4 separate regions of the Mus musculus genome follow, and all the other regions are reported to be linked to region 4. Evidence: microRNA targets listed by miRTarBase, many of them from high-throughput screens and not tested one by one. Region 4 holds a microRNA gene; each other region holds the end of a gene's coding sequence.
What was found. Region 4 holds the annotated microRNA mmu-miR-1298-5p (UUCAUUCGGCUGUCCAGAUGUA, at 4,888-4,909, shown strand). A microRNA usually pairs through its seed, bases 2 to 8, with sites in the 3' UTR of a target mRNA and lowers its output. Matches are read on the target gene's strand: a 7mer-m8 pairs with bases 2 to 8, a 7mer-A1 pairs with bases 2 to 7 and ends in A, and an 8mer does both.

Region 1 (7,123 bases), not on the chromosome of region 4:
GGTTCACAACCTCCTGCAACTCTTATTTCCTGGGAATCTGATACTCTCATCTGGCCTTGCAGACATACATGCAGACACAACACATGTACTCGTAAAATACATACATACATATGTATGTATATATATATGTGTGTGTATGTGTGTGTGTGTATGTATACATATATATACAGAGAGAGAGAGAGAGAGAGAGAGAGAGAGAGAGAGAGAGAGAGAGAGAGAGAATAGCCTGGGCTACAAAATACAGAAGACTCTCTAAAAATATGGATAGTAAAAAATAATCTTTAAAGTGCAGACCATGTGGTTGGTTACTCATTTCTCACTTGAACTTACCATCCATACTTAAGGATATCTTTCTGTAACAGCTTCTCGAAACAGCAGTCAGAGGTTATGTCCTGTGCCTCCTCTATGGGGTCAGACATGACACTAGACGTTTGCACTTACACTGGCCTCTATGCCTCACCTCAGCCTTCTAAAGCAGGCAGGTTGCCTGGACTTCACAAATGAGGACGCTCCCACTTAGAAGCCTAAGGGCTGCTTAGTGTCCACGCCCACACACTTGATGACTGCCGCAGCAGGGTCTGTAAAACCTGGTGCGCATCCCACTATGTAGCTTGGTGCCCTTTTCTTTGTTACATTGTGATCATATAAAACCGGCTCACTGGCAGGCGATTTTGCTTGGCATATATTGGATACACTGTATTCAGCTGCTATCAGAAATACACATCGGGGGCTGGTGAGATGGCTCAGTGGGTAAGAGTACCCGACTGCTCTTCCAAAGGTCCGGAGTTCAAATCCCAGCAACCACATGGTGGCTCACAACCATCCGTAACGAAATCTGACGCCCTCTTCTGGTGTGTCTGAAGACAGCTACAGTGTACTTACATATAATAAATAAATAAATCTTTAAAAAAAAAAAGAAATACACATCGTTCTGAAATATTTAAGCTTGATACCTAAAGACTACATATTGAAGCGAATGTTAAATAAGACTCAAGAAGTAAGTTTTCTCCCAGGACCTAAAGAGGGCCATTCTCATTAATTGCATCACTAGAGACCACTCGGGACCTTAACGACGTAAACGCCTTGAGAACTTGCAAACGAAAGGGATGTGGGGATGATACACTTTTCTTACTGTTTAGACCTATGACATCACTGACATGATGGCTGTTCCCACGTCCCTGCGGGGTGGAGTACCATAACTTAAAGTCCGGAAGCTTCCGGGGAACTGACAGTTCTTTGTCTTTGCTCCAGGTCACTGTAGAGTTTGCAGATGAGGTCCGGTTGTCCTTCATCTGTACCGAAGTAGACTGCAAGGTGGTCCACGAATTCATTGGTGGTTACATATTTCTCTCAACTCGTGCGAAAGACCAAAATGAAAGTTTAGATGAGGAGATGTTCTACAAACTCACCAGTGGTTGGGTGTGAATAGGAAAACTTGTAATAAAACTCCACAGCCATAACAATATTTAACTTTAAAGCTATTGTTTCTTATATGCTGCTTAATAAAGTAAGCTTGAACTTTATTATTTTATCATGATACCTTTTTGCCTTACCAGACCAGTACATATGTGCACTAACAAGCACGATTGTTAATCTGCTGCCTACCTTGATATGCCGTATGTGGACTGTGGAATTCCCAACAGTCCTTAGGGCCACGGAAAGCTGTCACTGACTGACAGTAACCAAACTAAGAAACAAGCCATCTACCAAGCCACCCAGGGCATACATATAACCTATATGAAGTCTATTTATCATGTGTAATGCATGTGTTTGTGTTTAATTGATGCCTTCTTTTAAAGTACCCTGCTCCTGGTACCCAGTTAATCCCCTCTCCCAGTATAAAGTCGGTCTACAGTGGATGCTTGGTATTTGTTGATGCTGTTGACCTTGAAGGAAACACTGCTAACCTGTTGTTATTGGGTGGGTTTTGTCTTTGAGTAAGCATGCTGTACATTGTTTTGTGTTTAGTTTTACACCAAACTGTATTACAGTACTCTTAGTATTCACCAGCATACTCACTATCTGCCTAAGATATGCAGCCTTTGTGTTACAATATGAAGTAAAGATCTATGAAGTATTCATTTTGTGTAACTAATGTACAAACACAAATTTTATAAAATTGTACAGTTTTTTTTAAAAAAAACTATTCACAACTAGGAAATGGCTTAAATGTAGCATCCTTACATTAATTAAGTGCTTTTAAAATATATAATTAATTTGCAGTTTCAGTATCTGCTAAATTACGAATGACTTCATGATGCTCGTGACTTGCCGTGATGCCCTTAACTACAGCCTGGACCGGCTGTGTTCTAGTCTGTTGCGCTATTACATCTGCGTTGGTGCTAGTTAGACAATTCCTAGCTCACGAGCCCAGAAGGGCGCCAGGGAGGGGTGGACTTACCAGTATTGTCCAATAATCCATGAATTAAAGACTGTATAAATGCATTTTATTTTAAATAAAAGTAAAACCTTTTATTTAATGTTTTCTTTTGTACTTCTGATCTCTCTCAACTCTCCCAACACTGTGTGTTATTAGAACAGCCCGCCAGTGCTAGGCCATGTCCCAGATGAAGAGCTCTCTCTCTCTAGGAGACATCCTTTCTCCGGCATTGAGAGACCTTTGTGGTTATTCAGTTAGACTCCAGACTTTCATCATGGGCCTGGCTGCCACCTCTGTCAGTCCCGTGCCTGTGAGGCCAAGACAGCTTCTAAAAACCCAGCTCTGCTCACCTCTTCTGTCTCCCACCACCACTGCTTGCCCTGCCTGCTGAGCCCTGGTGTAGCACTGCCCTGGTTACCTAAAGCTCTGATGACTGTGCCCTGTGCTACAGAAGCTCAGGCTCCAGGTCCTCTGAGCTGGGGCATCTCCCTGGGGCCCATTTGTCCTTAAGCAGTCTGGACAGCCACATTCTCTAGGCCAGTGGTTCTCAACCTTCCTAATGCTGCAATACAGTTCCTCATGTTATCCCCAACCATAAAATTATTTTCTTTGCTGCTTCATAACTGTAGTGTTCTACTGCTATGAATAATAATATAAACATCTGTATTTTCCCGTAGTCTTAGGCATCCCCTGTGAGAGGGGGGTCAGGACCCACAGGTTGAGAACTGCTGGTCTAGCCATTCATCCCATTGCCATATTATTTACTAGCCCTATACCCTGTCCTCTGTCCAAATCTATGTCTCCCTTTAGAAATTTTAGTTTATAGCTGTTCTTCCATAAATACTTCTAAGTTTCCTTGCAGCCAAGCAGACTCTGCCTTCTCTGAACAGATGGCTGCATTTAATGGGAACCAAGGCAAAGCTAGACTGTGACCTGGCTTCGCACCTCTGTCCAGTCATATGGGAAGCAAGCCTTGGTAACCCTCACACCTGTCGCCAGCAGCCTCTATCAAGAAAGCGTTTTGCAAGAACACTGTCTAGGACTCCCAGAACCTGCATTCGAGTTTCTGTTCCCTGTGATTGTTCACAAGGGCATGGGAACAGGATATTAACCAAACTCCATCCAAATGTTGTTCTTCTCAGGCAGCAGGCTAGTGGCCTGTTAGAAGCTTCTGGTGTAGTATTGCCAACTCCACATAAACTAGTTTTCTTTGTAACCTTGAGAGATATTTTCCATTCTTTTGGTTTTTGGTTTTTTTGGTTTTGGTTTTTTCGAGACATGGTTTCTCTGTGTAGCCCTGGCTGTCCTGGAACCCACTTTGTAGACCAGGCTGGCCTCGAACTCAGAAATCCGCCTGCCTCTGCCTCTGCCTCCCAAGTGCTGGGATTAAAGGCGTTCGCCACCACGCCCGGTACAACATTTTCCATTCTTATCTCTCCAATGTCATACATTCAAGCGGCAAAGACAGGGCAGACTGTTCTGTTCTGTGTTGTCTAGTTGCGATTTGTGCCTTATTAAAAGGTTTTGAAATCAGTAGTGATAAAGAAGAATGAGGCCAGCCTGGGTTCTTGGCCCTTAGCTGAAAGACACCAATGCTCTGTATTTTAAAGTCAACACTAGCAGTAGTGAACACAGTAGCAAACCAGTTTTTTCAGCGTCTCTGTACTATATCTGTATCCAAGTCACTTGACACATGGGACCATCCCTAGCCTGACAGCCTTCCAGATCTGCGCCTTTGCTTTATGCCAGCGTGTATCGGAACTGCCTGTCCGGAACCGGCTCAGATCCTTGCCATGCCCTGTGGCCACTGTGCCAGTGCCCCTTTCTGGCCATATAGCCGCAGCACGGAGGCTATAGGCATAGGCCTAAAAGTCTGGGATAATAGAAATGGATCCAGTTTTTACCCTGCAGAAGAACCACTGGGGCCCTTTACACAGCAATTCAGGAAGCCCGCCCGCCCTCCCCTCCCCTCCCCTCCCCTCCCCTCCCCTCCCCTCCCCTCCCCTCCCCTCCCCTCCCCTCCCCTCCCCTCCCCTCCCCTCCCCTCCCCTTCCCTCCCCTCCCCTCACCTCCCCTCCCCTCCCCTCACCTCCCCTCCCCTTCCCTTCCCAGGAGCTCAGAGCTGTTCAGCAAATTAACGGAGGCTTTCTTTATCTGTTCAAACTGATGTGGTTTGGCAGCTCAAGAATGGGGGAGGTGGGAGAGAAAACTAACAGGAAATGGGAAATCAGGGGAAGGGCAGGGAGATTCTCAGTGGACTGCAGAGCCACCCAGAACAGGAAACAGAAGTCAGAGGCTTATCTAGTGACCTGATTTCCCACTGTGCCATTCCTCCACTACATTTAATTAAGCAAAATCAAGTTTCCCAGGATAAGCATATAGATGTCAAATATCCCTTCCTCTTAGTAGAGTCGCTCCCTGTTCAGTGTCCCTTCTGTTGTTTGTGCTTTGGCCTAAGTATTACTAAAAATTACAAGCACTTAAAAATAATTTGAGACCATTATTTCATGAGATCTAATTATAGTCTCCTGTGGCTTTGCTGCTCAGGCATTATCCACAATACTGCCCCGGGAACTGGACCAGGCTCAATGTTAATTACATTTATGATTACAAACAGCACAGTGAGCCAAACAACTTTGAAGCCATGTCTGAATCAATGTGGCAAATGCATGATAGGAAAACATTCTGAGCACAGAATTCTAATGTCCGGCTTTCTAAAATCGAGTGAAAACACAGACTCCGAATCCTACTGGTAGCTACACAGCCTCTCAGCTTTTTGCCTAGTTACAGACTCAGTGCTCAGAACACTTGGAAGAGTCAAAATGCTCCTGAGAAATAACAAGCAGCCGAGGGAATCAGCTTTGCCAAATAGGACAGTGGGTGAGAGGAGTGTGAACAAAGCAGAAAACACGAGCATGAGAATCCCAGAATAACCCCGCCCAGCTTGTATCGGAACTTTAAAGTTTCAAACACAGAAAGTGTGGGGTCGTGGTGCACACCTGGCATGCCTTGGACCCTAGCACACAGAGGCCAGCCTGGTTGACAATAGTGAGTTCCAAGGCTACATAGTGAGAGCCTGCCTCAAAAAACAAACAAACATCCCACAAACAGCACGACATTGGCAGAGATGATGGAAACACTGCAGTCAAAAGAGACTGGAACCAAGGGTGTAGGGACAGCTACTTGTTTCTGAGATCATCACAAAAGAGTTCCCCAAAGAGCTTGGGCCACAGCCTCGTCTAGCTATGCAGTCATCGAAATCAATTCCAGGTGGACCAAGGACTGAAGTTGGAAAAATGCTCCTGTGATCCGAGTTAAAGAATCCTGGCCTATGTGTCCTACGTGTCACTGTCTGTGAGACAACACAGTGCAGGAAGTATTGAGTGGACAGCAAATCAAAGCTGGAAGAGGAGAGCATTGACTGGAGAGGCCGGAAGATGCCAAGCTTATACAAAGCCAAGCCTTTTCTCAAATCAATCAACAGAGCAGAAAATGTGGAGAAGGTATTTGCATCATATAATTGGCTGGACAAGAGAACCGAGACTATAAACAGATGTGCACACCTGTCTGTGCTCACACAGGCCAATCCAGAGGAAATGCACAAACCCTTAAGGTACTCATTTCACAAGGGAGGAAAGGAAGCCTGAAGTGAAAAGCTGTCCATCTGCACAGGATTCTGGAAAATGGGCGCTTTGTATGTGAAGTGCAGAGGACAGAACCAACCCAGAGGTCCTCGTGTATTAGACACATGCTCTGCTGCTGAGCTACATCCCAGCCACCAATTTTAAAGTAGTCTCTTGCCTGTGGTACTAGTAAAATGGTTAAGATCTGACAGAGTAAAGCGTTACTGGGGTAACAGGATGTTTATCGGTGCAATTATAAACTATAGCGTCCCCAGAAACGGTTGTTGCCATCCTGTGCATTTTAGGCCCTCTCAATTCCACCGTGGATGTGGAGAAACTTAAGTGTGTCCTCGTGCCCACCAGGAAACAGGTTCTAGGGCATGCAGGGCCCTGTGGTGGCACAGGTCTGTAATCCCATCTGCTCAAGAAGCTAAAGCAGGAGAATCACAATGAGCAAATTAGTTAGACCTCGGGGCAAAAAGTCAAAAGGGCTGGGAAACCTGTATGTAATTCTGGCACCAGGGAGGGAGGGAGCAGGATCTGAAGTGTTCAAGACCAGCCTGTGTTAGTGAGTTCAAGGCTAGTCAGTGTGAGCTACCCAGGAGCCTTCCCCACTTCCCGCACCACGTCCCACCGCAGAGTCCTGTGGGCAATATCTAGCACTGAACTAAAAATGATTAAAAAAAAAAAAAAAAAAAGACAGCTCACTACCTAAAGCAGCAAAGACTTGTAAACAAACACACGGAACAGTAGAATGAAGAATGACAGGTTCCACCTTGCAGAAAATACAACTCGCTTTTAAACATGGAGGGCTTGAAACAGTGAAAAATGGCAAATATTTGTCATTGTAGTGGGCAGGCTGTGCTTTGAAATTTTTATTATTATTGAGGAGGCAGGAGCAAGCACATGAAGCTCCTCCTCCCCCTCCTCCTCCCCCTCCTCCCTTACCTGGATTTCAGGATCTAACTGAGGCTGTTAGGCTCATGTGGCAAGCACTTCACCCTACTACACCATTTGGACAACCTCCAAACTACTGAGAGACCATTTTGGGTGCTAATGTCCCATGTGTAACAGTGGTACTAAGTCACTGAAGGCCAGGGGGAGGGAGTGGTCTCAGCAG
Region 2 (7,123 bases), not on the chromosome of region 4:
AATGTGCTACACAAAACCGAAGCATGATGCAAAGTGATTAAACAATGGAGAGAAGGCGGTGTCCGCATTAGAATACACAGGTTATCGATATTTCGGGCAAGTTCTTGGGAGTACCTTCAGCACAGACAGTGGAAGGTCTCAGTCCTCTCCCACGGCCCTGCACGGCCCCAAGAGCCAGGGTTGGAGTAGGGGTTTGAGCAACCCAGGAGCAAAGATGTTTTCACAGACCATAGTCTGAGAAGCAGCACAGCCTTCTCCTCCGCCGGTCCCAACTCTAAGGATGCCAAGTTGAACCCGAAAGACAGCGCAGGAAAAGGGAAAAGGGAGGGAATTTCGGGGCGTAGGACCATTCCCTTGGGGTGAAGACTCGGGGTGCAAGTCACAACGTACCTGTCTCCATAGCGACGGCCGCGGCCATAACAATCAGAGTGAGGCGAACACCACCAGCCCCGACCGAACCGCGACTTCGATTGGTGAGAATCCGGAAGCCACGGCTCCTACTTCCGGTCGCGGGGCAGAGTGGGACACGAGGGCGGGGACAACCTCACTTATGGGAAAATTAGCCCCACCTATCTGTGCAGACCCGGCCGGCTGCGCGCGCAGATATCGAGCGGGGCGTGCCGGAGGACTTCTCATTTTTTAGGTCTCAGAGTCCTGCTACCTACCCCGACGTAATACACCACCCTGACGTCACCTTTCCCTGTGTGACGTGACGCAGAGCATGATCCTTGGGCCTCTTTGTCCCACCTGACCAAGGTGTATGGGCAGGATGGCCTCGCCCCTTAGGAGCAAGTCCTCCGCCCCGCGAGTGGAAAGCACCCGCCACAAGGAGACATCGACTGTCCGCGTGGAGACGTCGTCCCACCGCGAGGAAACGTCATCCCACCGCGTGGAGACGTCCTCCCGGCAGGTTCGAACGTCTTCCCGGCAGGTGGAGACCTCCCAGCGCCACCGAGAGGGGCCCTCCCTCACCCCCTCCACGAAGCGACTCCCTCAGTTCCTTGAGGTGTCCTCCCAGCACGTGGAAACCTCCTCGCAGTGCACGGAAACGTCCTCCCGCCACGTCAGGGCGTCGTCATCCCTGAGGGTGGAGACTACTGTGCACCGTGTTGAGAGCCCAGCCAGGCAGAGTGCCAGAATGGCTCGATGAAGTGCCAAAGGTCCTTAGCCAGGACTGAAGAGTTGCCAGCCAGCCATCTTCCAGGAGAACCGAGCATCTTTGGTTTCATGGAAAGAACCCATAAATCAGTGTAAGAAACAGGCTGTGGTTTCTGGGGGCTGTTAACATGTATTGACATTGCAGCACCTTAGACCATCCTGTTGTTGACCCCAGTGTGCTATTAACTTGAAGCCAGCACAGAAGGTTTCAGACTGGTAGTGCAGTATAAACCTGGCTGATGGACAATGAGATTCTTTGAGTCTCTACACCAGGTAAGTTTTATAGTCTTAGGTCACTCTAGGATGTGTTGACGACTTGAAATTTGCAAAGAGGGGCCAAACTTGTCATGATTCTTGACCGCTGGCCTGATCATATACCTGCTTGAAACCTACAGGGCAAGGTATCATCTTTCATACATTATTAATTGGCCTTTATTAATACTTATATTTCATTATACATTTTCTCATGTTGTCATACATAGTATTCCACCCACACTTAAAAAATTAAATCAGGGGGTATAGGAAAAAACAGGACAATTAATAAACAATCAATAAAACCATTAATAATCTTGGAAGGGAAAGTAAAGAAGAAGCCATGACACTTGGCCTGAGGCGTGAGATTGACAGGATGGTAACTGAGTATTACTGCATGCTAGGTAGTAGTTAGAGCATGGCAGCTAGAGCAGTGGAAAAGACTAGGATCTTCCTCTAATGAAGAGACATGCAACAAAGGGGAAAGTAAGACAACATGCTGTTGTATTCCCGCGAAGGAAAGGCTGTCTGTCTTGTGGTAGAGAGTAGGGAACTCTTTAGAGAATATGGTCAGGGAAAGCCTTGCTGATTACATTTGGTCCGAGATTTGTGTGAGTGGACAGTGAGCCATATCAGGATCTAGAGGGAAGTGCATTCTAGACAGAAGGGAAAGTCTACATTTTTTTTAAAAATCAAAGATGTTTATGTAAGAGAAAGATCAGTTAGTATATGAGAGCGTGGTATAAGGAAGAAAACAAAAAGGAGGAAGATGCCACTTCATATAGAGTCTTGGAAATCTTCTGGGATTACAGTAAAGAGCTTGAATTTTATTCTGAGATCATCAAAAGAATTTAGTGCAAGGGAGCAAAGTGCGTATTGCAGTTTACAGTTTAGAACTACCTCTCCATCGAAGTTGCATTGGTAACCGAGTTGGGAATGATTTTGTCTCCAGAAGTGTGTGTGTTTGGGGCAGCGTGGAAGGTGCTCCTGCTTGCCTCAAGTGCCTAGTAGCCAGGGATGCTGCTAACATCTTATGGTGCCCAGGTCAACACCCTGTCCCTCCTCCAACAAAGAATCGCTGTGCTGAGAAAGGCAAGTCATTGGTGAAGTTGAGAAACATTGAGGTTTCTAGCAACTTTGCTAGAGGGTGGTGCACTAAGCAAACCCCTGACTTCTGCATAGCAGAATTGCGGAAAAGCCTGAAAGACAGTCATGGAAGTGTGTTCAGAGCATCTTCCGGTGAGGAACAAAAGCAAGCGTTCTCAGAGGAAGAGGATGTGTTGCTCTGTAAGGAACCCTCTCTCTAGCCTGCTTTAATAATGCATGTGCTACTTGCCACTAGAACAGAAGGCTGCAGATGCTGATTCTGCAGGACTCCTCATGAGTCAGAGCACTTACTACTTCCAGGCACTAATTTAGTCCCAGGGAGTGTACTGGACTGTCCCCGCAGAATGGGGGCGCAGGTCAGAAGAAATGTCATAACTGCTAAAGATGTTGATGTTATAACTACCATCACTACCCCAAGGCTACCTGAATGCCTGTCTGCCTCACAGAACTGCTAGTATCAAAGAATTAGCTAATAGCAAAGAATTGTCAGTTTTTTCCAGTTTACTAATTCTTTTTAATATGGCCAACTGTGCCTTAAATAAACAGATAAAAAAACAAACAAAGCAGTTGCTTCTCTTTGTGTTCCTCATTATCTTCTTGTTGCAAAAGTGGTATGTGTCTAATGTAACAAAATAAATCAACATAACAGTTAATACGATATTATATTTCCTGTCCATTACTAGCCTGGAAATAATGTCAGAGATGTGTTTGTCTGTCCAGACCTTTCTCCATTAGTGACTGCTTCTGTTTCCTCTTTTAGTAGTATTTGGAAGACTGGCTGAATGTGACTCTGGGAAAGCCAGGCGCCTGCTTCTGGATCGTTGATGCTTCAGGAAGGGCGTGGGAAGGATCCTGGTAGATTCCCTGTGGTCCTGGTCTTATTTTTATCTAGGATTCTTCCTCCATATTTCACTTATTCATGTTCCAAGAGAGAGAGAGAGAGAGAGAGAGAGAGAGAGAGAGAGAGAGAATGAATGTAATGAAACACCTTTGCCATAAATCTATATTATACATTCCACAGCTTCAAAATGACAGTGTACATCAATGAAGGTAATTGTTGATGTACCCATTGTACTTTGTAAATGTGTGTGTTACTGTTAGCCATGCTGTGTGTCTTCCTCATCGTTCTCTGTAGGAAATAGAGCTGCTGTACCTGGCATGTGTTACACAGTGTTAAAGACAGCATGTGCAACAATAATAAATGAAGAGTAATATTCTCCATTTGCAGTCGAGAAAGCCTTTAATGGCACAGTCTAATAATTGGATTTATTGTGCTGGGTAATAGTTGTGTCTTGCCTTCAGCTGTGTCAGCCAGGTTAGTTTAAAAAAAAAAAACTAAATAAATGTAAGTTCTTGTAAAGAAGTCACTTCTTATTCTCATACTTTTTCATATATTACCTGGGAGTGGTGTATAATATTTACTGCCTATTGCGTTCAAAAGAAATGGCTGGGTGTGGTGATGCACACCTGAAATCCCAGGACTAGGAGAGGCTGATGCAGGAGGATTGCTATGAGTTTAAGGCCAGCCAGGACTATATGACTGTATAAAAAGTACCAGACTAGTCAAAACTACATAACAAGATCCTATCTCGAAAAATAAAGCAAAAGAGAGAGAAATAAAAAATAAAAAAGGGGCAAGGCCACTGAGTTGGCTCGGAATGTAACAGTGCCTGCCCCCGAAACTGATAACTTGAATTTGATTTCAGGAATTCACATGGTAGAAGGAGAGACCAGACTCCCAAAAGTTGTCCTCTGACCTCCACACATATATCAATGTGTGTATAATATTTTATATAGTTTAATATATAATACATAATAATTTATAATAGACATAAAAGTATATACTATACAATTTTAAATATAGTAAATCAATATATAACATTAAACATACATTTAATTTAAAAAATTTTTAAGGCTTGCATTGACAGGATCCTCTTTCCCCAGACTAAGCAGGCCATGGGAAGAACCAGAAATTCAATTAACGAGGTGTTTTTCTCACATCTTTTTCTAGATTTTACAGAATTCCTGTTCCCTCCTTTGTTCTATTGATCTCATCCTAAGAAAGCTAATGCTTATATCCAAGGCCTGGATGGCACCATAATCAATGCTTAGAATTGCATAACTGTAAAAAAAACAAACAACAGAAATAAACAAAACAGAAAACCTGTCCCGCCAGGCGTGGTGGCGCAGGCCTTTAATCCCGGCACTTGGGAGGCAGAGGCAGGCGCATTTCTACAAGTGGCTTCCCAGCTCGGGAGTGTCTTTTGGGTCTTCAGTGGTCCTCTAGGTTCTTGGCAGTGGCTTTGCTACTTTGCCTTTAGCATGACGTTGACCAGTGCTTGGTGGTCACCGCTCGGGCCTTTCCTCTCACTGATGCTGTGGAGGAGAACATGTGAAGCACATGCTTACAGGCTAGGAAGTCTGCTTCCCCTCTTTGACACATTTAGGACATTGCTCAGACTCTCCTGATTTGCATTGGTTCCCACAGCAGCAGTGGCAGCAGCCTCGCCTGTGTTCCTCCACACCAAGGTGTCCATGGCCTCTGTCAAGGTGTGCTCTGTACTGTTGGTGGAGCACCCTGGTATAATAATAACCTTGGTGTCATTTCTTTCCTTTGTCCTATATTTGGGGTTGCTTACACTCTTAGAAACTTTGACTCTATAGTCTTCATAAAATTCATAAAATTTGGAGGCCATTATTCCTTCCACTGTTTTTCCCTGCCCCTCTCTGGGTGTAAATCGTGGGTCTGATAAGCCATGGGAAGCTGATGTTCTTCTGTTCCTCTTCATATTTCACTGGATATTTTGTGTTGTTTTTGTCTTCATGTTTATACTAATGTTTTTTCTATAATCTATAGCCTATCATAAATACCATGTATGGTTTTAAATTTCTTTTAATTTCACTTAAAACATTTTTATCTCTCATAGTTCAACTTCAATCTTTTAAAATATCCTCCACACATAAACAAATTCCTCCACAAATTCCTTATATCTTTTTGGCATGTTTGGCCTGCCCTGCCATTACTTTTAACATATATAATTTTGTTTTAATAATGATTTTGTTTATTTTTATTTAATCCTATCATCTGTACAATCTCTGGGACATTGCCTATTAATTGATTTTTCTTCTCATTATGAGTTGTATTTTGTGGTTGTTACTTTTCATGCCTGGTTATTGATATTTGTATGCAAGGCATAGTAAATTTTAACTTTTTTTGAGTGTTGTTTAGTTTTCATATTTTTATAATTCTTTTTTTGTTTGTTTGTTTGTTCTTGTTTTGTTTTTCGAGACAGGGTTTCATTGTGTATCCCTGGCTGCCCTGGAACTCACTTTGTAGACCAGGCTGGCCTTGAACTCAGAAATCTACCTGCCTCTGCCTCCTGAGTGCTAGGATTAAAGGCATGCGCCACCACGCCCGGCATTTTTATAATTCTTGAACTTTGCATTAGTCACAAGTTATTTGCAAGCAGTTTGTCCTTTATATCTACTTTAAATCTGTTCTGTGAGTCCAGATCAGTTTTAAGTGAACAGTTAATGTTCTCTGAGACAAAAGCTGGGTCTGTCTTCTCTGGATATCCCTAAGTTAGGTGTTGGCTAGGGGGACAAGCCTTGTTCTCAGTTTCCTGCCCTAGCACGTGCAGTGGTCAGTGCTCAGCCGAATGCTCAGTAGACACCTGTGCAGTCTCTGAAGTTCTCTTTCTAGATGAGGCCCTGTTTTCAGCTCTCCATCCTTCAGTTACCCCTCCTTAACTCAGGACCGTGAGAGGACTCTGCCACAGCTCCCTCCTCCCCAGTGCTCACACTGAAACCTCTCTCTGGGCAGTAAACAAGGGCAACCACATAGCTTATGTTACTTTCATACTCATAACAAGCCAGAGAGAAGCCTGATATTCCCCTCTGCCTTAAGTCTTCCTTATTATTTAACATAGCTTGTCCTGGAAACTAACATTACCGTTTTCTTTCTAGGTAACAGGATATTCAGGTGGTAAGCAGATCGTTATGGTAGCTATCATAGTGCAGAAATAGAACATATCACACAGTCTCTGCCATGGACACAATTACTATATTGACCTGCTCTCTCTCATTTTCAGAGCAGAGCCCCCACTATAGCCCAGTCTGGCCTTGATCTCTTGATCTTGTCTCTGCTCTCTGCATGCCAGGATTACATATATATGTACTTGCCTGGCTCATTGTTTCTTTTTGAGGAGATGGTAATATCATTTTCTTCTGTGAGAAATAGTTAAGTACAAAAAGATTAGGAGGGTGTGTGAGCTTAAATATAAGTGCTGATTATCAATGTACCAGTTAGAGTTTACCCCTTGGCTGCAAACCTCAATTTCTGCTTTGCTACGCGTGGCTCTGCCATTTAGCCACCAGGGGGCGCATTCTCTCTAGAAGACCAGAGTAGCTTCTTCCTGCCTGCTGTCTCCGTTGTGCCTCCTATGCTGTGAACTCTCAGAACCAACCACACTTCACCCTGGCTGCTGCAGTTCCCTTCCCTTAGTAGCTGAGTACACTTGTCAGTTTTCTGTTTGAGGAATTCGTTTTGTTAAACCTAACCTCAGAACACCAGCAGCAGCCGGTCATCTGTTCTCAGAGTCTGCAG
Region 3 (7,123 bases), not on the chromosome of region 4:
GTACAGGTACGTTTCAGAACTGGGAAGAGAATCTTGAGGGGATTAGGAAGACATGGCTCAGTTGTGGGGCTCGATGTGTTCAGAGAAGAATGGAAACACTACTGAGACTTGAGGAAGGTCTAAGAAAACAAGTCTTTCCCTCTGGATAATGAGAGAGGCTTCCTGGGAAGTACATTGCATGGAAGGCTATATGGCCCTTAGTACCTGGTAAGAACTCTCTAGAATTCATATAGCACATACTGGAGAATCAGGGATTGATGATCTAATTTATTTGAGCATATCTATATCTATATCTATATCTATATCTATATCTATGTCTATATCTATATCTATATCTATCTATCTTTCTATCTATCTATCTATCTATCTATCATAGATGTTTGAATCAAATACATACATTATATGTTTATACATATACTCATATATCTTTTGGAGTAAAGTAATTGGCAAAAATTGAAGTCTGATTCTTGATCATTTTGTTTGCAGCTGAAGAGCTCACTCATTATGCTTCAAAAAACCTTTGATTTACTAAATAAGAACAAGTCTGGGGTGGCTGTGGAGAGCTAGTGCTGAAATGTGGAAACCAAAGAGACATCTGGACCTAGAAGGCAACATCTGGAAGGAATCGGAGGATGAAGACTGTCACTGTCATAAGGACATTTCTGATATTTTTATTACCAGGATTTCTACCAGGAAAGCTGTATTTAAATAACATTTACTCAATGACTACTCTCCAATAGCCTTAAGACTCTATCTTTTCACTTCTTATAGATACTTTTAAGCTGTGAATTTCTCCAGTGAACCATGAAATATATTTTGGAATTGAAATTCTGTGACACAAAAGGGGAAGGAAGGCACTGTGGGTAGGATGGCTATTCTTCTATAGTGAGGCTTGCTACTTGATCCTTTAAATTTATGTTAGCACAGAGTCCCTGTGTGCCCAGGGTGGGGGTGGGGGGCTGCGTTTGTAACTGAGTTTAAGAGCCTAAAAAGGTAAGAAGAAACCCCTCAATCATTTATCACCTTAAAGGATCGTTTTCCAAGTGCATACATTCCAGGCTTGTATCTTTAAATTTTACAGTGCCTTCCTTGACTTGGCCTCAAGGCCAATGGTCAGACCTTTTGTATGTCCGAAAGAGTCATTGGCCATGTTGTATCTGAATGAAGGGATATATATGTATATATATACACACATATATACATGTACATATATATACATATGTGTGTGCATATATGTATGTACGTATAAGTACCAAAGGTGAGATTATCCTTTATATATCAAAAAGACTGAACAGTAATTTAGGAGAAGGAAGTATATAGGACATCAATGCTCATAATGAACTACTTTCAGTTTTAGAAGTCGTAAGATTATTATAAAATCTGGGCATTCCATGACAGATCAAATTGAGTCCATGAGTAATGCTTAGATTCAGCTTAGCAACACCCATGATAGAGGTGGCCCATCAGGTAGAAAATAATTAATCACTTTTCAGTAGCAGCTAACTTGTCTTGCTGGCAAATTATAAGCTGGACACAAACTTGCACTCAGCAATAAAGACTGGGGGGCATGCAAGCTGACCGGAGTTGAGAGGCGCAAGCTTGGGCTCTCGGGAAAACCACTCAGGCACTTGTGTCAGCACCAGTGGTTTGTGAAAATAAGGACTTGGCGACTTGACTTGAAATTAGCTGCGTCCCCCGGGATTTAGGAAATGTTCAGGACGTATTTATTGTTTTGTTCTCTAGCTGTCTTTCTAGAACACGCACATATATTTATTTTTATTGAATATCCATTGCCTTTAGTCAATGTTTCCTTTCCCTCAGTGTCACCAAAGCCAAATGTCATTGCTAACAATGTTTTTGAGACGCCTGTAGGGAATAAAAATACTGGCTAAAGGGAAGGGTTTCTCTTCATGAATCCTAACTAATCTCCCTGGGGCAGGGGGCTTCGGAGTAATACCTTCTGTTCTGTTCTGTTCTGTTCTGCTTTGTTTTGTTCTGTTCTGTTCTGTTCTGTTTTGTTTGTGATAAGAACATAGGAAGTCTCTGGCTGTGAGTTTGAGTGACTGGATTAGAAACTTCAGATTGTTAAATTTAGAAAAATGTTAACTGTCAAAGTGAATGCTTTTGTGGTTTCTCTTAAAGCACTTCACCATATACCTCAAAGATTACCAACGTCACTTTGTAGATAAAACACTAAATATGTACGTAGAATTAATGAGATCTTAATCTGTTATGTATGGATTGACTTCAATAAAACCGGAAATGTTTAAGTTGTCGTTTTTTCTTCTGTTTCTGCTTAAAACCAAACCAAAACCTAGAAAGCCTGGGGTAGGGAAAACCTGTACGTAGGCCCATAGTTCTTACAGATTTGTGCTGCAATACAAACCCAGAGGGGACTCTCTTGGGCAATTTCATTGCAAATGTGCAGACTACTGAATCAAAAGTACCACCGAGGCCTGGCTGGAAAGCAGCTCCATCCTCCAGGACTCGCGAGCGAGAACAAGTTGGATAAGCCGGGCTTGGGGTCCACAGCGGGCCTCAAGGGAAGGCGGGCGACTCGTGGGGTGGCACCTCTGAAGGCGGCCAAGGTGCGGATCGAACCCCAACGCCTGTTGCCGGCGCTGGAGGACCGCAGGCGACCGGCGGAACTCTGGCGGCGCGCGAGCGCCGGGGTCCGATCCCGCACCCCGGCGGCACCGCGAGGGCCCCGGCGCAGGTGCGAGGTGGCCCGGCCGGAGCGCGGCGGGGGAGGGGCCTCGTGGGCAGGCGGCGCACGTGCGGGCGGCGGGATCCCGGCGCCGGGGGCGGGGCACCCGGAAGCGCGCGCCGACCTGCGGAGCGGCGACCGGGGGCGACTGGCTCGCTCGGCAGGCGCGCGCACCGGCGGTGCTCACAGGTGGGCGACTCCGCCCGGCACTCCCGAGCCTGCCGTGCGGGGTCGCAGGCTCAGCCGCGCCCAGGGGAGTCGGTCCTCCTCCCGGTCCCCGCCTCTGTCGGGAGGGCAGGTAACTTCCCCGCCAAGGTCATTCTCCAGGCCCGCCCACGCCCTCGGAGCGGCGGGTTCGGAGTGGGCTGGACGGGCGACCTCGGGGCTGCTGGGGCTCCTGGCATCCCCGGGCCGGTGGGTGGTTGCAGCGCCAGGGCGTCGCTGCCTGCACCTGCGAGGGTGAGTTTCCACGGCGCGCAGCCTTGGGGTGGGGACAGCCCGGCCCTTTGAGCCGGCACCCTCAGGTGAACTGGGCCGCCCTAGCTCTGCTGTCCCGGGCCGCGTGGTCGGCTGTCGCCATGGGAACGGCTGGTGCCCAGATGTTGCTAGCCTAGCTGGGAAGGGGAGGGGAAGGTGCTCAGAGCCCCAGAAGTCAAGGAACCCTCCTGTCAGGCCACGCGGAGCCCGAAAAGCCTGATGAAAGCAGGACCCTTCCCCCCTTTTCATTTTTTTATTGCTCAGGCGTTGGCGTTAATGAGAAGCAAGGATGTGTTTACAGGATGTGAGTTGAGTTCTTGCCACCTTTACCTTCTGTGAGCTTCTTATGCCTCATGGTGACAGGTACAAATCCGTACACTAAAGGGCAATATGAAGCCAGTCAAAAAAAAGAAAACCGAAGAACCTGAATTGGAGCCCCTGTGCTGTTGCGAATACATAGATCGAAATGGGGAAAAGAACCACGTGGCTGCCTGTTTGTGTGATTGTCAAGACCTCGATGAAGGCTGTGACAGGTAAGCTTACAGTTTCCAGATGCTGACCCCACTGGTTCTGTTGAGACCTACATATGTATATATATTCCTTCAGGTTTGCCGTCCAGAATGCTGAGGTTTGTTCTTGCTATTCCAAAGGATCTAAAATAGAGGATTGGTTTTTTGCTGTCAGGTGTGAGGATTTTAACAGTTTTCATTTTAAAGGATCATGGAGGATAGTAGGGTAGATTAGATGTATATAAGAACGCAATCCAGCACACACACTGCAAGTTTAAATGGACACTCCAGAAAGTTCTGTATTTTCAGTGATCTTAGTAGGACCCATGCATGGGGTTGTTCTCACGTGGTCACATGAACTTGAAGGGTAAAAGATAGCTTCTCTGTTCTCAGTTCACCCTGTATTTCCAGAGAGAGAGGCCATGTACACCTTGTGGGGAGTGACTGTTTTTCTGTGTGTAGCAACACAGTCCTGGTTGGAATATTGTCTTATCTTTGGCCTTTACTTTTACCACAATCTCAGCGATGGAGATTGCTATCTAAAAAGAGAGTTTTTAACCTCTGTTAAAACCAGTTTGTATCAAGCAGCAATAAACTGCTTTTAGCCATTTTTCTAAATATATATATTTTAAACATCTGCTTATGGAAGGCATAAAGTGATAGGAAGAGGGATGTTGGAGACAAGCTTTTCCCAGAAATTGTCCCTTCTGGCTACACAGTCATGGTGACTGTAGATTGTTAATCAGGCCAAGAACAGCTTTGCATGGGGACCACTGCAGTCTTCTGTCACTCTTGACTGGTAAAGCCCATTACCTCTTTGTTCCTTGTCTCTTTCTATAGTATTTCTTTTTAAATAGGTAGCCTTAAATATAGCTTCTTGAGACTTAGTCTAAAATCCATCCTGAGGAAAATAGAGCACTTTGCACTAAGGAATGGAGAGTGTATGCCAGTTCCATAATGGCCATCATTCAGGAAGGACCATGGCTTTGCCACTAACTTTGCTAACTCTTCCTCTCTCCTAGCCCTTGGGGCCTGAGCTGTCCTGAGTTCTCTCCTCTGCCCTATCTTTTTTCCTGGAGACAGGCTGCCCTGTTCCCACCACTCCTACTACTCTCTGACTCCAGGTGATATCTCCCATTCACTTTAAGGTGTGTCGTGCCTTTAAAAAAAAAGCCTACAGTTATTTTTACCTAAACTACCTTTTCTTTCTCGCCTGTCTTAGTCCACTTAGGCTGCTGCAACAAAATACTTCAGAGTGGGTACATTACAAGTGATGGAAGTGGACTGTCTACGGTTCTAAAGGTGGAGAAACCCAAAGTCCAAGTGCTGGCAGATTTAGTATCTAGTGTGGCCCCTCTTCCTCATGGGTGGTATCTGCTCAGTGTATCCCCACCCAGCAGAATGGATGAAAACCCTGCCTTTCTTGGTCTTCTTTTGTGTGGATGTTAATCTCATCCACAGTGTGTTCTGTTGACCTCACACTTCCCAAGAGCCCCACCTCTGAATAAGATTGCACCGAGAGTTAGGTTTGAACTACATGAATTTTAGCCACTAATATTGGATCATTTGCAGTCTACCTCTGCCCCCTCCAAAGAATGTCTTCACATGAAAAACATACCCCGTACCTCCTAACAACCTCCAATATTTAATCATTCAAATGTCAGCACAGACATCTTAAGTTTCCAGAGTGGTCTGGGTGGCATCGAGTAAATCAGAAATGGGTGAAACTCATGAAGGCCTCTGCATGAAGCTGTGGGCCTGTGACTAACAGGCTGTTGGCAGTAGAGAGGTTAGGAGTGCTTCTTGCTCTTGCAGAGGACCAGGGTTCAATTCCCAACACCCACGTGAATCTACAACTGCCTGTAATTCCAGTCCCAAGGGAGCCAACATGGTCCTCTGACCTCAGTGGGTACGAGGCACACATGTGATACATGGTATATACATGTAGGCAAAACACTGTACACATAAACTAATAAAAAGTAAAGAAGAAATAACAGACTGTGAACTTTCAAAACACAATAGTGGGACATTCTTTGAAAGACATTCCCAGGGTGGGAAAGAGAAATGAGAAAAGGAATGGCACATCCCATACCCACAGGACAAATGACATGTGTGATGCAAATATCCTACCTTCCAGACACAGTGCTGAGCTAGAAGTATGGCTTTGCTCCTACTGTAGCTCTCATGCATTGGAGTCTTGTGGTTGCACAGAGCTTGTGGGTGGCTGGCTCCACCATCCTGGGTCCTGGTCAGTTCTTCCCCTACAGCTTTCCTAGGCATTGCCTGGTGAGGCTCTCTGCAGTGGTCCCATACCCACTGGTACACAAGGCAATGCCCTCATGAGGGCTCTGTGGTACTTCTTGGCCTCAGCCTTGACATTCTTTGGGACATTGTTTGACATCCACGTGGATAGAGTAATGCCTCCACAGCTCTTGTATTTTTTGGGGCTGTAGAACTGGGAGCAAATGATGCCACCCACATTTACCGCTGATGCCCTTGGGAGTAGAGGCCTCAGTAGTTTACATTGCACCTGGGAGTATCTGTGGGACGAGGAATGTGGGGAACAGAGATTTGATGTGGTACTAGGGAGTGGGTCCTGAAGTTTCATGGGCGTTCTGAGCCATTTTCTGTGAAACCATGCTGCCATTGTGTACCTGGCATTGGAGGCTTCTGCCTGGAGCACAGTCACACCCAGAGCTTTAAAGGGTCATCCTCCTGTGGTCTTGGTGCATACCCCAGGGCCCATCCATACTGATCTCAGATGCTCTCCTCCACACAGGCTTGCAGTTACTGTAAAGACAGGTTCAGAGGCCAAGAACTTTCCAAGTCTTCAAGTTATGTTTCCCCTTTGGTTATACATTTTTTTTCTTTAAAGTCAGTGTATGTGTGTTATATGTATTGTGTGTGTTTCTGTGCACACACACATATGTGCTCCTGGTGAAAGTGTTTGATGTCAAGTGACTTTCTGAATCGTTTCTCTGCCTTATTTTTTGAGACAGAGCCTTTCAGTGAGCCTAGAGCTCCTTTATTTTGGCCAGAGTAGCTGACCAGCAAGTTCCTGGAATCCCCCTGTCTATTCCCCTCACTCCCCACAGCACTAGACTCTAAGTGCATATCCCCACGCCTTTTTATTTTATAACGCATGTGCCTGAGTATGCATGTGTGTTCCGTGGCTTTGATGTGTAGGTCAGAGGACAACCTGCCAGTCGGTGGCCCGTGAAGACTGAACACAGGTCGTCAGCCATGGTCACAAGCACCTTTATCCACCGAGTCACCTTGCCAGCTCCATGTCCAAATTTTCACACGAGTACAGAGGATCTGAATTTGTCCCTCTTGCTGTCATGGCAAGTGCTTTGCCAACTGAGCCATCAACCTAGGCCCTAAAGTAGTAGTTGTTGTTACTGTTGTTGTTTTTACTGTTATTATGTTA
Region 4 (7,123 bases):
TAATTAAAAGTCTGTCTCTTTTAATTACTCCTATTTCTTTGTATAATAAGGCATGGCTGGTCACTGATTATGCCTTTTGTCTCTAAGGAAACATTGTATGACTAAGGTGATGCTAAGCAAATATATATAGAGGGGGTTTTCACTCCCTTTCTTCCTACTTAGCACTAAGTGTCTTCTTGAAAACACTGACGAGACAGGGAATTATTACAGGAATTTGTACTTAAAGGATAATGGCAGACGTTTGGATCAGAAATATACTTTAACTGCATTGTTTCCAGGAGACAATAAGATCAAAATACCCAAAAAGCACTAAAGGCCATCAGTTGGAAAGTATGTGTTAACTTAACAAACCGCTGGTTATTTGCTGACTCTTATCCTGACTGGATTGCTAAAAGATGTGGATTGCAGCTCAGGGTGGTTCTGAGGTAGTTCAATATGCAGATGTAAGTGACCAAAGTGTGTATCAGTGGTGCACAAGCGATGGAAAAGCTAGGATTTTGCTCTTATATATATATTTTTTCACTGTAAGAAAAGTTCTCTTGAGGTTGAAGAACTGGCTATGTTCAGATGACAGCACCCAGGTCAAAAACCAAATGGCTTCTCATGTCTATAACCCCACTCTTTGTGCACAAACATGCAAACGTGTACATGTAACACACACTATATAGACACACCATGCCACACATACACATCCTGCAATAAACACCACACATCTAAAAGAAATAATTTCTTCTTGTATGAGCCATTTATTTTCATGATGTAATTAATTCCTGACTGAAAAACTGTTTGCACAAGTTAGTGTGTGTAGGAATACATCTCACTTAAGTAACAAGGAAATAGTATTTATTTCAAACTCAGTTCAGTACAGATGTAAGCAAATCAGACTTCATGATGTTAAATTTTATTTTATGATAATACTATTTTCCTTTGAGATTTTAACCTAAGTTTTTTTTAAATAAAATATACTCAATGGCTGACCTTAACACATTAATAACCTTATTTGATTTTAAAATTATATTTGTATTATTTAAAACAATTTTTAAATTTGACTATATTTTGATAATGCTCTTCCCCTTCCCTAAGTCCTTCCAGATCCTCTCCTACTCCCTATCCACCTAACATTAAGTTCTTTCTCAAAAACAAAACAGAACAAAACCTAATCAACAACAAAACGCCCCAAACCTATAAAAGATAATGACCTTCCGTTGTTACTGTACTTCCCTGGAGAGCTTAAACAAAAGACCTTAAGCAATCAGATACTGCTGTTAAGTGGAAAAGGTGGCACCCTCAAGAGTCTAATATGTTGATATTAGACATGTCAGTCATCTAAGAATAACTTCTCAAGATATTATCATGACAGCTGTTTTTTTTTTTTGTAATGATTATTCTATTTATTTACATTTCAAATGTTATTCCTTTTCCCAGGTCCCCTCTCCCAGGAACCCTGATCCCATCTCTCCTCCTGCCACTTTTATGAGGTTGCTCCCCCACCCACCCATCCACTCCCACCACAACACCCTGGCATTCCCCTACACTGGGACATCAAGTTTTCACAGGTCCAAGGTTCTCTCCTCCCATTTATGACAGACAAGGTCATCCTCTGCTACATTTGCAGCTGAAGCCATAGTCGCTCAATGTCTACTCTTTGATTGGTGGTTCAGTCCCCGGCAAAATAATATTTTTGCCTTGTTTCCTTTTGTTTGTAACAACAGAACCCTTGGCATGTGAAGGTATTAAGAAATAAAAACTTAGATTAAGAATAAAATAATGATTTTTTAAAAAATTTTAAGAAACAGTACTTTTAGGATACAACCTGAGATTACATCTCATTTGAACATATATTTTCTTTTGAAAAAATTTCAAAAACATATATAATAGTGTGGATAAAAGTCAAATAATTTTCTATGTCCCCATATCACAGAAAGTAACTATTAGGATTCTATACCAGTTTAATAATCTATTTATTTCTCATTTTTTGTTAAATAATTTCACACTATGACATCATACAATTCTAAAATTCTGAGTATATTCTTATAAAACTGCTGTGTAATTGTCACACGCAGCAATTGTTTTTTTTCCAAAACTAAAATATTTTCATTGTTTATTTCTTTACCTTTCTTCTCTCCAACCCATCCCATGTTCTTCTTCCCCTTTACTCCCTCTCAAATTCATGGCCTCTTTTTTGTTATGTTGTTCATATATTAAATACATCATGCATACATACATACATGCATACACACAGCTAGATAAATTCATATACTGTTACTTGTGTGCTTTCAGGCCTGACCACTTGGTATCAAGTAAACTGTTAGTAGAGAAAAAAATCATTTTTCTGAGTGTAAACATTCCTTAGTATCCTTTCATTCTTTGTCTAGGCCTAAGTCCCCATGACACTTTCCTTTTCCATGTTAGCATGTCTGCAGCATGCCTAGCAATCTTTTTTTTATGTTTGTTTATTTATTTATTTATTTATTTATACACTAGATTTTATTTCCCCCTCCCTGTCCACCCTCCAACTGTTCCACATCCCATACCTCCTCCCCTTGCCCCTGTCTCCACAAGGATGTCCCCACCCCACCCCCACCCCCAACCTAATCAGACCTCTAAACTCCCTGGGGCCTCCATTCTATTGAGGGTTAGGTGCATCTTCTCTGACTGAACCCAGACCTGGCAGTCATCTGCTGTATATGTGTTGAGGGTCTCATATCAGCTGGTGTATGCTGCCTGGTTGGTGGTCCATTTCTAAATGTGCTCAAAGAGCTTCGCAAAGCCATATTAAAGTTGTTTTCTTTTGCTTTAAAAAATTATCATTAAACCAAACTGCAGGATATGTTAATATTTTAACAAACTTACCTCCAGTTAGTCTGTATTAGACTATGAATCTGTGTAACAGCAAACCACATCTCTGCTGCATTTGAGTGCCTAGAAAAATCATGATTTGGCTTTATGTAGAATAATCTTTCAATGAAATGTAAAAGCAGGTGGGCTGGAGAGATGGCTCAGCAGTTAAGAAAACTGACTGCTCTTCCAGAGGTCCTGAGTTCAATTCCCAGCAACGACATGGTAGCTCATAGCCATTTTTAAAGGGATCCTATGCCCTCTTCTGGTGTGTCTGAAGACAGCTACAGTGTACTCACGTAAATAAAAAAAAAAGATATATAATTCAAAAAAATTAAAAGCAGGTGCTTCTGTTATGAAGATGCTGTTATTTCACAAATGGGACCACTTTCCAAGATATTCAATTATAACTCTTTTACATGGGTTTTAATGTTAGGCAAGTCAGTTCTTCCATTTGAAAACGATGATCAAACATATGCAATCATTTGATGGCTTTCGGACATCATGACATGGTCTCACCTTATGAGACTATGGAGCTTTGGAGGGTAGTGATTTTAAAAATGTGCATTTAAATTACATTTATTTTGTTCACCACCTGCAACACACAGACACAGGCATGGGTACATAGACTATTACTCACTGAAATCATAAACAACAGGATTAGTGTTTATATTGTTCTAAACTTCTTGGCATACTGTATTTGTATACTGTGTGGTACAGGGAAGAATAATTTACAGAATTCTCTATGAAACTGTTTAGAGAAATTTTAAGGTGATTATATATGTATTATAAGTTACTTGAAATGTTAACTTCAAACACAGACAGGGAAGTTATAAAATAGGCATATCTGTGTCTCTAAATGTTGACAACATATATTGCAAAGATTATGGACCTGATGCAAGAAATAAGAATATCTTCAAAATTGTCCAACAAATCACCAAAATAGTAGAAAAGTCCCCAAAGCAGTAACAGATTTGGTACCTCTCAACAGTGTTCCTCGGCCGTCCTAATGCTGCTACTCTTTAATCCAGCTCCGCATGCTCGTCTGTCCTCCACCAGTACAATAATTCCATTGCTATTTCATAATGGTAATTTTTCTACTGTTATGAATCATAATGTAAACAGCTGTGTTTTCTGGTAGTCTTAGCCAAGCCCTGGAAAAAAGTTGTTTGACCCCTTCCCCCCAAAAAGTCAAAGCCTACAGGTTGAGAACCACTACCCTCGCTGAACTTTAAGATAATAAAATGGAACATGGGTTTTAGAATGCTACACTACCAGGCAATACTGCTTAAAATGCACTTTTCTGTGATTATTTTAGTCACAGAATCTTTCAAGTCAGAAAATTATGAATAGTAAACTTTGTCTTAATGTTTTTAATAATTGTATGTGATCTCCTAAATCTTCAGTCTAAGAAAGAAGAAAAAAATAGATGTTAAAGACTGCATGCACATTGACTTGCAGAATAGATGGGCTGTGTGATGAAAATATCTCCCAGATCACTCTCAAACTCCTTTTAAATCAAGAGGCACATTTATGTGTATTTCATGTTTCACATTGAGCTGGCAATGGCAAGAAGTATCTACCTGTAATTTTCTATTTCAACTTCATAATAAAATGGGGGATGCACTGGATTCAAATAAATTTGATGATTTATTCTAAGCTACACTTCAATAGAGTAACAGAATCAAGTCTGAAACCACAGCATCTAGTACCCAGTGTGCTATGTTATAAAACATATTTTTAAATGTAAATTATGCAAATTCAATTTGCCCATTGCGTTTTCTGTACTTGTCATACATTGTTAATGTTTAGCATGAGCCTTTCTGTGTAGATATTGTTGTTTGTTGGTGATTTAAACACACTTTCTAGTAATGTGTTATACACTGGTGGCAGAGATTGCTTTTTCTTGCTGTGAAACTCTCAAACTTGAAAGACTAATCAATCTTTCAATGCCAAAGTAGTGGTTTTTGTTTACTTCTTTCCCTCTTTATCCAGGAGTATCAAAAGCTGGCAAACTGAAGAAGTGTTGGAGAGATGAGGGGTTAAGAGTTCATTCGGCTGTCCAGATGTACCCAAGTACCCTGTTATTTGGCAATACATACATCTGGGCAACTGATTGAACTTTTCGCTTCTCTTGACTCAACTGGAGCATCTGCAACATTCAAGGCCTGCTTGACAGCCCAAACTGTGTAATTTATTAATCAAATGAGACCCAGGGAGCAAGTGCTGCCTGTCAGTAAGGGGGCATCATTGTAAAGCTAAGGGGGAAATGCATTTTTGTATACAGCTATGCTGGACTGTAGTATGTACTTTGACAAAACTAAAGGGAATGAATTGTTTCAAGTGTGTAAAACAAACAAACAAAAAAGTATTGTCACCAGTGATACTTGTCAATTGCCTATATTGCCAGTGTAAAATAACTGTACTTGTGATAAGTAACACTAGGACAGCCTATGAATACATACAGCTATAAATCTGCTCTATTTCCTTCCATTATTCCTTATCTTATGCAATTCTCTCTCATTCACAGCAATGATCCACTCCTGACATGGCTTATTGCTTGTTTGTTGAGTTGGAATGTAAGCTCTGTGTGTGCAGGGCCTTTTTTTTTGCCTTGTTTTCCACGCTGTGTACAGCATCTGGCTGAGAGCCTAGCATATAAAAGGAAATCAACAAATGTTTGAACACAAAGAAATTTGGTTGTACAGTTCTCAGTCTTGCAAGTCAGTAGGAATTTATCTCCAACACATACATTAACATATGGTTTCCCCCTTAGTACTGCTCTTTACAAGTTTTTTGTTGTTGTTTTTGGTTGTTATTGTTTATTTTGCTATAAGGATACTTAGGCTGAGATAATTTAGGCAGAATTCTCCTACCACCTATGGAGAAACAGCTTCAAATTGCTGGGCATGCTGCCCACTAAGACAGATTCCCTTAATGTTTGTTATTACAACTGTGGAATGATTTGCATCAGCAACTTCAGTTCTATTAATTTAGGAACTATTTTTGGAATATTATTTTAGGCGAGTGGAATAAATTTTGCTATGGAAAACTTACTACCTTAAATGCTGTTGATTTGAGGAGTTCACTGTATTATTTGGTTGGTTGGTTGGTTGGTTGGTTGGTTAGTTGGTTGGTTGGTTGGGTTTTTTTTTTTTTTTTTGCATTTTTTAGATTTAACAAAAACTGTTTTCATGTGGTCCTAAGGTTGTTGCTCCCACATGAGGACTATGCCGTCCCAGCATCACAAAACAAACGACAAACCTCCCATAACTTATACCAAGCAGAAGAATTTTGAAAACACAAATAAAGAAAATATTTCATTTGCAGTCAAAGTACAAGAGGGAAAGTTCTATATGCCTCAATACTCCTTAGTATTTTCTGAAGAGAAGAATGGGGAAGTGTAAACATTGGTAACAACTGTTTTCAAATTAAATAATCATATTGGTGTTATGAGATCTAATGAAATGTCCAGAAAAGGCCTCAGGTACCATTCTCCGAATGTTACCACCTGTTTTAAAAAAGAGAAATTACAAAATCCTCCAGCATATATGACTATAGTGTCAGAAGTGTCCTCTCTCCTTTTTGTCACAGTCTAGGGAAGCATCTAATTTTAGGTTTGAAGCAGTGCATTCCAAGGCAAGCCTAGCAAAGATACAATAACTGTCTTGAGCCTGAGGTGTAGATTCCCCTCCTTATGTATTGTGGGAGTTTTCATTTCCACTGATGTCTATTAGCCTGGGGTGCTTTTGCCTGGTGTAAAATAACATTTCCTAAAAGAGCAGACTGCTGTACAAGGGAGGGTTTTGAAATTACCTCTGATGAAAGTTGTTCTAAAGAACATCAACTGTCAAACTTGTCAAAGTGACTTAAATATAGACCTGCCTGAAGACAAGGAACTAAATTATTTGAACCCTTATAATTTTTTAGTCTCAGAAGTTCTGTGAATTCAAGCTTGTAGAATAAGTTAAGACCTTAAAATTTAAAATGGCGTATTTGGTTTCATTTAAATTCATAGAATGCATTTCTAAATGAACTTACCATAACTGAAGCTCCTGGGTTCACTGGTAGGAAAGGGTTTCAATTGATTGTTGTCTCTGAAGTTTTTCCACCAAATCATAAAGAATGACATCATGTTACTATTCATAGCAAACATGAATTTTTTGAATGAAGAGTGCTTTATTACAAAATTGCTATAGTAAACATTTAAATTTGAAAGGAACATTAATTTAATATGCCTTAATCCTAAGAATGAATATATATACATGTAGATAGATAGATAGAT

Region 1: the mRNA of Fermt2 is a reported target of mmu-miR-1298-5p. Seed matches in the 3' UTR shown: 7mer-m8 at 2,244-2,250.
Region 2: miRTarBase lists 4930563E22Rik as a target of mmu-miR-1298-5p. Seed matches in the 3' UTR shown: 7mer-A1 at 3,486-3,492.
Region 3: the mRNA of Gramd1c is a reported target of mmu-miR-1298-5p. Seed matches in the 3' UTR shown: 7mer-A1 at 1,160-1,166.

Annotation. Positions count from the first base shown.
Region 1 is chr14:45,454,152-45,461,274 of GRCm38, reverse strand. It overlaps Fermt2 (fermitin family member 2), which reads left to right. Exons shown (of 15, transcript NM_146054.3): 15 at 1,252-2,483. The coding sequence ends at 1,425. Among named protein-coding and RNA genes, the nearest start is that of Gm34250, 11 kb to the right of the region's middle.
Region 2 is chr11:72,214,571-72,221,693 of GRCm38, forward strand. It overlaps 4930563E22Rik (RIKEN cDNA 4930563E22 gene), which reads left to right and starts at 568. Exons shown (of 1, transcript NM_001163728.1): 1 at 568-3,880. The coding sequence starts at 761. The coding sequence ends at 1,150. It overlaps Med31 (mediator complex subunit 31), which reads right to left and starts at 1,022. Exons shown (of 4, transcript NM_026068.2): 1 at 391-1,022. The coding sequence starts at 418.
Region 3 is chr16:43,975,502-43,982,624 of GRCm38, reverse strand. Gramd1c (GRAM domain containing 1C) reads left to right here. Exons shown (of 17, transcript NM_001359085.1): 17 at 487-2,275. The coding sequence ends at 567. It overlaps Zdhhc23 (zinc finger, DHHC domain containing 23), which reads left to right and starts at 2,816. Exons shown (of 5, transcript NM_001007460.2): 1 at 2,816-3,166; 2 at 3,449-3,717. The coding sequence starts at 3,575. It overlaps Gm46552 (a long non-coding RNA gene), which reads right to left and starts at 2,752. Exons shown (of 2, transcript XR_001781930.1): 1 at 2,387-2,752.
Region 4 is chrX:147,060,031-147,067,153 of GRCm38, forward strand. Mir1298 (microRNA 1298) reads left to right here and starts at 4,875; the gene lies at 4,875-4,972. All of the region lies in intron 2 of Htr2c (5-hydroxytryptamine (serotonin) receptor 2C), which reads left to right.